Linked DNA regions of Coturnix japonica. The protein of the gene in region 1 purifies or fractionates together with the protein of each later gene. This does not show direct contact. Links are inferred from orthologs where the notes say so. Each region holds a gene or a part of one and is shown on either strand. Other genes may lie near its edges. The genes, in order: PTPN9 and LZTR1.

The links.
Region 2: the proteins of PTPN9 (region 1) and LZTR1 purify together in Homo sapiens (affinity purification with mass spectrometry; 3 studies listed by BioGRID and IntAct, with this or other methods). This does not show direct contact. The link is inferred for Coturnix japonica from reciprocal best matches to the Homo sapiens genes PTPN9 and LZTR1.

Annotation. Positions count from the first base shown.
Region 1 is NC_029525.1:1,987,894-1,992,275, forward strand, and holds the start of PTPN9 (tyrosine-protein phosphatase non-receptor type 9), read right to left. Parts: upstream 2,996-4,382; 5' UTR 2,981-2,995; coding exon 2,822-2,980; intron 2,663-2,821; coding exon 2,519-2,662; intron 2,445-2,518; coding exon 2,355-2,444; intron 2,281-2,354; coding exon 2,156-2,280; intron 1,699-2,155; coding exon 1,593-1,698; intron 1,130-1,592; coding exon 1,019-1,129; intron 838-1,018; coding exon 509-837; intron 376-508; coding exon 282-375; intron 141-281; coding exon 71-140; intron 1-70. UniProt on the Homo sapiens protein: Protein-tyrosine phosphatase that could participate in the transfer of hydrophobic ligands or in functions of the Golgi apparatus.
Region 2 is NC_029541.1:979,080-982,880, forward strand, and holds part of LZTR1 (leucine-zipper-like transcriptional regulator 1), read left to right. Parts: coding exon 1-25; intron 26-139; coding exon 140-279; intron 280-459; coding exon 460-661; intron 662-3,801. UniProt on the Homo sapiens protein: Substrate-specific adapter of a BCR (BTB-CUL3-RBX1) E3 ubiquitin-protein ligase complex that mediates ubiquitination of Ras (K-Ras/KRAS, N-Ras/NRAS and H-Ras/HRAS).

The DNA.
Region 1 (4,382 bases):
AAACTAGGTGATCATTACAGTCCTTTTCAACCCAGGCCATGCTATGTTTGTGTGAACACACAGCCCTTACCTTGTGTCCCAATGTACGCGTTCCTCTGCTTGTAGCCATCCATGAAGCTGGCGTTGATGTAGTCGGTCAGCTGCGGACAATGACACGGCATGAGTGTACCACAGGAATGGCTTCAGCATGACCCCTGGGCTCAGCTCCAAGCAAGCAAAGCGAGTGAGAACCCAGATACTGGGCGTCAGGGATGGGCTGGTGGAATGCAATGGGGGCTCACCTCAGGGCGGCTATAGGGCCTGGCCAGCTTCACGCGGGTCTGGTCCAAGCAGGGCACGTCCCCATAACGGTTCTTCTCCTGGTTGTAGGGCGCCCTGGGGCAGAGACAGGGCAGGGCAGCAGGGCATCCCAAGGCAATGCCCGGGGCTCTGCTGCCATCACCTGGCTGCAGTCCCGGGAGCAGCGTGCACCAGTTTCCCGCTGCCCCTCCCACCCCATTCAACTCACAAGGAGCAGACGAAGGTCCCGGCCGGGCTCCGGCGCCGGATGTCCTCATACTCCTCATAGATACCGCGCTTCTGCTTGCGGCTGACGTGCTCCAGCAGCTCCTGCGGGGTGAGAGCCTTGGGGCCGGGCACGTGGAGCGAGCCGTTGTCACGAGGGGTCACCAGTGGCACCAGGATAAGCTCATCCAAGGGGTCGGGGTGCCCGTTCTGCTGCGGTAGGAAGCGGCAGTTCCAGCTGAGCGGGTCCAGCTTGAGGCAGCCGCCGAGGGTCTCGGGAAGGCACTCGCGGGGCAAATGCTCCTTCAGCTCCGACATCTTCACCATCTGCACCTGCAGAGGACAGGCATGGGCACTCAGCTCAGCCGGCAGGAGGGCTCTCCTCAGCTCAAGCAGCAGAGATCTTCGGGCATATTGTTCCAAGCAGCAACCAAGTTTATCTTCTCCCACGTGGCTCGTTTTCTTTCCCTTTTAAAGCTGCCAGCCCCCAGGAGCCTGCAGCCCCCACACTCACCCTCTCACGCAGCTTCTCCTTCAGCAGCAGGCTGATGATGGAGTAGGGCACGCGGAACCACATGGGTGCTCCCACGATGAACACCTTCTTCAGCCTCGCTGGGAAAGCGCCCTGTGGACAGCGAGGGCTCAGGGACGGCTCGGCTCCACGCTGCAGGACTAACCCACACCCAGCGTGGCCCCACAGCAATGACAACCGCAGGGTCCTGGAGCAAAGCAGCTCCCAGCACAGTCCATGCTCCAGTCCACATCGATTTCCATGTGGCCAGCAGAGGGCTGGGCTTGATGAGGCAGCGGTGAGGGCGGGAGCAGGGCTTTGAGCCCCAGCTGCTATTTACTGGGAGCTATTTTTCCGGAGAAGGGAGGAGGCACGAAATGCCAGCACCATTAAAAAATAATTTGCATCTGTTTTCATGAAAGAGCTGCCAGCAGCTGTGTGAGGAATCCAGCGCGTGGGGACAGCTGATCCCCTCCCAGTGCCTGAGCCTCCCCCCGAGGGGCTGTGGATGGCACCCAACCTCCTGCATCCCCCCCCATCCCATCATCCTGCCCCATCCCATCCCTGCCGTCGTTACCTTCAGCAGGTTGAGGATCTTTTTGCTGAGGTCCAGCTCGAAGTTGGTGTATTGCGAGCCCGCCATGTCGTAGATGAACACCAGCCCATTCCTCTGTGTCTCGAAACTGGGCAGGGGGAAAAAGCAGCACCACTCCAAGATCATGGACGCACCCTCAGTGACCCCAGAAGAGTCTCCTCTGTGTTCCCAGTGAGATGAAGAGCCCGAAGCTGCCTCTCCCCCACCCTGAGCCCATCCCAGGTACATGGTGTCAGCCCACAGACAAAGCCCAGCCATAGGAACGGGGTGACTGGGCTCAGTGTTCCAGCAGGGCTCCCACGGCCGGGGCTTTCCAAGGGCCGGAGATCCCCGGCACAGTAACACGAGGCACATGCGGACGCCTTAAGGATGCCACTGATTTTTGCCATGCCTGGAAGGCTTCTAAACGGGCTGTCATCAATCCTTGGCATGCAAACATAGGGCGAGCTGCTGCTTATAGGCTACTTGAACTAACAGAGCTTGGGCTGCGAGCAACAACAAAGCAGCATCCAGAACACAAGGCAGTGGCAGAACACAGAGCTCACCTCTCCACGGCCCTGTCCAGCAGGTAGAAGAGCGCCTGGAGCACCACATGCTGCACACTGCGGCTGGGGTGGTGCAGCTTGGCCGTGAACAGGGCAATGGATGCCCCTGAAGGGTCCCGAACGCTCTGCAGGAGGAAAGCAAGGTCATGGCATGACTGTAGGCAGCACCACACTGTGCACTGCCACCCCATGCACCTACCAGGATGGTGAACTTCCCACTGAGCAGCTCTGAACGCAGCGGCTCTTCGTGAGGCTTCAGCTTCACGATGCCCTCCTTGAGCCGCGTCTCCTGCAGTGGGAACACAGTGTGACCCCCAGTATGACACACAGGGATGTGTGAGCCCACAAACCCCCTTGACATACGCGGTAGGAGTGGAAGAGCTCAATGGCCCGTAGGACGTCGAACTTGCGGGCCATGAGGAACTTGACGGCCACGTTCCAGGAGAGCGGGGACACATTGTACTGGCCCGTCCACTTGTTGATCTCTTCCAGGAACTGCTTGGTGGCCTGCAGGACACAAGGACATTCCTATTAGCATCCCCCGGACTCCCCAAAGGCAATTTAATGGGGGGGAAGAACTAGGTGGCAGAACAAGGCTGGCACTTGGCTCGACCCAAAGCGATGTCAGATGGGCCAGCACCAGATGCGCCCCGAAATGTGATGTACCTGCCCACCTTCTAGAGATAAAGCGGGCAGAGGAAAGGAAGCAAAGCCCTGCGTCACTGCTGCGTCCCAGATCCCCGAGCTGTGGGACAGCCCCCCTTCCCACCCGCACATCCCAGGGCGATGCTGGGCTGCCAGCCCCGCTCCCGAGCCCAGCAACATCCTCCCGCGGTGACGCACGGCCGGGGAGGAAGCCGGGACGTCACGGGAGGTGCGGGGCGTGGGAAGAGCGTGCACACAGCCCCGCACAGCCCCACGGGCACCAAGGGGGGCGGCGGCTCCGTTACGGCGGCGGGGTAGAGCCTGCGGGAGAGCCGGGGATGGAGATGATGAAGCAGAGGGGATGCGTAACGGAAAGGAACGGGGATGGGTGGGGGGGCGTGCGGATGGAGCGGATAAGGGGCAGACGGAGGCTGCGTGGATGCAGGGGGGAGCAAAGCCGTCCGCCGCCCGGTGCTCGCAGCTCGGCCGGCACGTACCTGCTCCTCCTCGGCGCTCAGCTCCGCGGCCATGCTGCGGCCGGGCCGTGCGGGCCGTGCTAAGCGGCGGAGCCCATCCCCGGAGCGGCGGCACTGCGGGCACCCGCCCCTCCCTGGCGGCCGCTCGGAGACGGCGGCGGCGGCTCCGCCCCGGGGTGTCCGCGACCGTGAGCGGGGAGGGAAGAGAGGATGGGAAGGGAATGGAGGAGATGGGATATAGATGGAGAGAGGAATGGAAACGGAATAAGAAAGGAAAGGAGAAAATGAGATTGAAAAAAGAGAAAGAAAGAAAGAAAACGAGAACGAAACGCAAATGAAAATATTCAAATGAAAACAAAAAAATAGGAAGAAAAGGGAAAAAAAAAAAAACCAACAAAACGCCGTAAGGATCGCAAAGCGCCGGGAAGTTCCGCTCGCCCCGGGAAGCGCCGCTCGGCTGGGGGTTGGGCCGCCGCCGCTCCCCGCCCCGCTCCGCTCCGCCCGGCGCTGCCCCGCGGGGGCGGTGGCAGGAAGCGCCCGCAGCCCCCTCCCCTGCGCCCGGCCCGACGGCGGAGGGAGGGGCGGGCAGGAAGCGCGGCGGGGCGGGGGCTGCCGGTCCCGGGCTCTGCCACCCGGGTAGCGACCAGCCGGACCCGCTCGGGATGGGTGGCACCGCCCCGGTTGGGGGGAGGGTTGGGCCGTCCCAGGGCCGGGGGTCCGCGCTCCGCAGCCGGGGACATTTTGTTCGGCCGAGGAGCAGCGCGTTGGCAGCTCGCCCGCAGCCGGAGGGTTTGCACCTAACTCGCAGAAAATGGAAGAAAGGGCAGAGAGAAGCGGCTCGGCCCCTGCCCCGAGCGCGGTGGCAGCGTTGTGGGGCTGACCTCCACCCCACAGCCCCGCTCCTAACGCACGCTTCCTCTTCGCCCTTCTTTCTCTCCGGCCCGGGGGCTGCTTTAGGAACGGGAACCATCAGCGTGCTGTCGGCCATCGAGCGGAGCCCGCAGCCCGTCACGTCGGCAGATGGCCGAACGGGGCTGCAACCCGAGCTGCGGTTCATCCCGAGGGATGCCCGGCAGCAGAACCAGCCCCGGGGCCGGGGTGCCGCC
Region 2 (3,801 bases), on another chromosome or scaffold:
CAGAGAGCTGACATGCTGGGAAGAGGTAAGATCTCATTTGGAATGGACCAAATGCTGCTCATGTGCTCTGTCTGCAGATTGTCCTGCAGTGTGTGGCATCGTGCTGCCATGTTTCTGATTGAACATCCTTGTCTTTCAGATTGAACAGAGCGGTGAGATCCCCCCTTCGTGCTGCAATTTTCCTGTGGCTGTATGCAAAGACAAGATGTTTGTCTTCTCGGGGCAGAGCGGAGCGAAGATCACCAACAATCTCTTTCAGTTTGAATTCAAGGAAAAAATGTAAGTGCAGACAGTAACACAGTGCAAAAATCATTCTCCACTTCTTGAGTTGAAGTTGTTGAGAGCAGTGCTGCCTTTCGTGACCTGCATGGCTGGATTAAATAAGACATGGGCTGTGTGGGTGGGACTGTGTAGCTCACTTTGTAATGCTGTTCTCCCTCACCCTGTTTGGTGTCTCAGATGGACGCGGATTCCCACTGAGCACCTCCTGCGGGGCTCCCCCCCACCCCCCCAGCGCCGCTATGGTCACACCATGGTTGCATTTGACCGGCACCTCTACGTGTTTGGTGGTGCAGCGGACAACACGCTGCCCAACGAGCTGCACTGCTATGATGTGGACTCACAGACATGGGAGGTTATCCAGCCCAGCCCTGACAGTGAGGTAAAACATTCAGCTTTCCTTTCTGCCTTTTACTTTCCATCTTGTAATTCAAGTTTTGAGCCAATTGTTACCCAACAGAAATGAGAAACGAAGTCACCCTGTGACAACCATCACAGCTGTGTGATGGGGTGTCAGCGTTGTGCAGTGCTCTGCTCAGAGATGTGCTGGCATTGCAGTGCTGGGTTCGTGCTGCTGGCAGTGCAGTGCCCTCCCAGTGTGCAGAACACAGAAGGCTGTGTGCAGCCTGCACACATACACACACTGCCTGCCTTTGGAACAGCAGGGCTGACTGCATGGGCTCATTCTCATAGATCTCACTGTAAGCCATCTGCAGGTAGTTCAGCTGATGCAGCAGTGTGTTCTGAGTGTTTGTGTTGGCTGCTGTGTGGGGAAGCAGCACTTGGCTTTGTGGTGAGCTGCAGGGATGAAGGCTCTCCATTACACAGGTGATTATTGCATCAGTGAGGATCAAACACAGATCTGAAGATGATGGGAGCCTTCCTCCCACCTTGCTTCCTCGCAGTGCTCTGCGCCCCCCATGAGCTGCTTCCTGAGCCAGGCCCTCCCTGCAGCAGTGCTGCCCACCATTCCCCTGTTGGCATGTAGGGAAAGAATCCATGCAGCCTTTTGTTGAGTTAAAATGTGTTTTCAGCAGCTGGGTTGTGAGGACATGTTTTGTGTTCTGCAATGGGACTCCAGCAGCTCTGCATTATCACTCTGCTGAGCAGCACCACAGCTGGAGCAAACGTGCAAGCAGGTCAGCACCCATCTGACAGCTGGATGCCATTCAGGTTCCTGTGATGCATTTCCTTAATCCTTTCTTCTTTTGCACCGCTTCTGGTGTTAAGTGGGCAGAGTCTGCAGAACCTGAAGAGGGACTGGCACTGATCTCAGTGCCATCACTGGCCTTCTGAAGCCAGGAACAGCATGTGCTTCTGATACTCAGAGCTCTGAACTTTTTGCTTTTCTTCTCTGTTGTAAATCAGCAAGGAGAGAGCTCAGCATGTTGGTGAGCTCCCCTGGCTTTGCTTTGAGGCACAGTGCTGGGGGTGGATCGCTGTGCTGTGCTCTGTGGATGGATCAACTCATCACGTGTGGGTGAGTGCCACGGTCTCCCTGTGCAGAGCAGTTACAACCACTGAGGTATCTTCAGGCAGAAGAGATGTTCTTATGGAACAAAAGCCCAGATTCCATCACTGAATCCCTGACCAGAGCTCACAGCCTTCAGGTGTGGCCTCTGGAGCTGCCATGGTGTCCTATTCTGCTTGAGGAGATGAAATTCAGCACCTCACAGGTGGTTTTATGGTTGTATGTAAAGGAAGCGCAGCATTCAGAGTTGCATCCTCTTTAGAAAGTACCTTTTTAAATCCCGGATCATTGTAGCTGTGACCTTTCCAAGTTTGTGCTCAGCAAACCGGAGAGATGTCTTGAAGAACACGAGATTTATTAAAGAAAAAGGTTAAAGGAATTAAAATGACCGTAATTTGGGTTGTTCCACACCTCGGTTCCTTTCTGTTAAATGCATTCATTTCATTTCTCAGTGATGTTTATTATGGAATTCTCCCCCAAATAAGAGAAGTTTGGGCTTGTGTGGGTGATGGGCAGAGGGTGTTTTGTGTCTGAGGTGCTGCAGCAGAGCAGTGCTACCATGACTCACATTAAGCGGATATAAGGTTTGATATCTGAAAGATAGGAAATGGGATTTTGAATGAGGAGTGGTTGCTCTGCTTTGTCCTTTGGGGACCATTCATTTGTGTTGCATTGTTCAAAACTTTTGTCAATGGCCTTGAAAGAAAACAGGAAATCACAGCTTTCCCCTGATATCTCCTGATTGCCTGTGGTCTTAATGATGAAATCCTCAGTGCTTTGGATTCCTTGTTAAGGTGGGCCCAAGCAAACGGTCTGTTTCAGCAAAGTAACGCATCTAGGAACAGAGAATGTGGTTTTGCTGAATGGTTTCCCTTAAGAAAACCCTTGGAAACAGTGAGTTACAAGCTTTAGTCATTGTGGGTAGCTGAGAAAAGCTCCTTGTAATGGAAAGGGCCTGCAAGTGCTGATGGTATTTTTGGCTGTATGAGCTGACATAGCATAGCATCGTTTAGTAACAAAGATGCATCGCCCCTGTGTTCCTTAGTTTAGCTCCCAGTGTAGTGTGGACCATCTCCTGTGGCACTCTGTGATGTGACTGTGCATCTTGTGATATAACAAGATATATTGTGTTATATCACAGTGACTCCCTGCTGAGTCCTGTAGGAGCTTGTGGTGTTCTTCCTGTTTGAGAGCCTTCTCACTTAAACTGCAGCCCTGCTTAAGCTGTGGCTCTGCATGTGAGCTCTGAGGTGCATCAGAAGCTGCCCCCAACCTAACCCAGGGTTAGGGTTAGGGTAAGTAAGGGTAAGGGTTAGGGTAGGGTTGGGTTTAGGGTTAGGGTAGGGTTGGGTTTAGGGTTAGGGTAGGTTTGGGGTGGGAAATGTTCATTTGGCTTAATGCTGCTTTTGCAGCAATTCAGCTTCATTTGCTGAGGACTTTGAGTAAAGCTGAGTGTTCCTAGTGAGGTTAATACTGAAACCAATGAGTTTATGTGAGGGTTTGCACAGGTTTAATTAAATTAATTTTGATGTAGGTGGAAACAGCCCTAAGTTGGTGCTCAGGGCTCTGATGTCAACTATTTGAATGATTGCTGGCCTGCAGCACAGAGGAGCAGAACTAAGGCACAGCTTTGTGAGCCAAATCAGAGCCCCGAGGAGCACCACAGGATGAGATTTGAGTTTGTGCTGGCTTGAGTGAGTACTGAGATGGGTTCTGGGTGCAAGAAATGCCAAAGGAGTGAGTGCTGAAAGGTGATGTGAGCCATGGCAGCAGTGGTGAGGGGAGGAGGGGTGGCTGATGGGTTCTGCTGTGAAAGTGAAGATCCCATCTTGAGCTCGCAAATCTCGTTAACCTAAAATAGGGAAAGCACTTCAGCAGATGAAGCAGGTCGGTGTGCTGTGAGCACAGTGTGTAACCCAGGGCTGCAGAGATGTCAGGGCTGAAGCGAGGATTCTTTCTGTCAGCACTGCTAATAAAGTAAGGAGATCACAATAACTGGGGGATAAGAATGGGAGCTTTAGGAACCAAATCCATCTGGGGGCAGTGTGTCT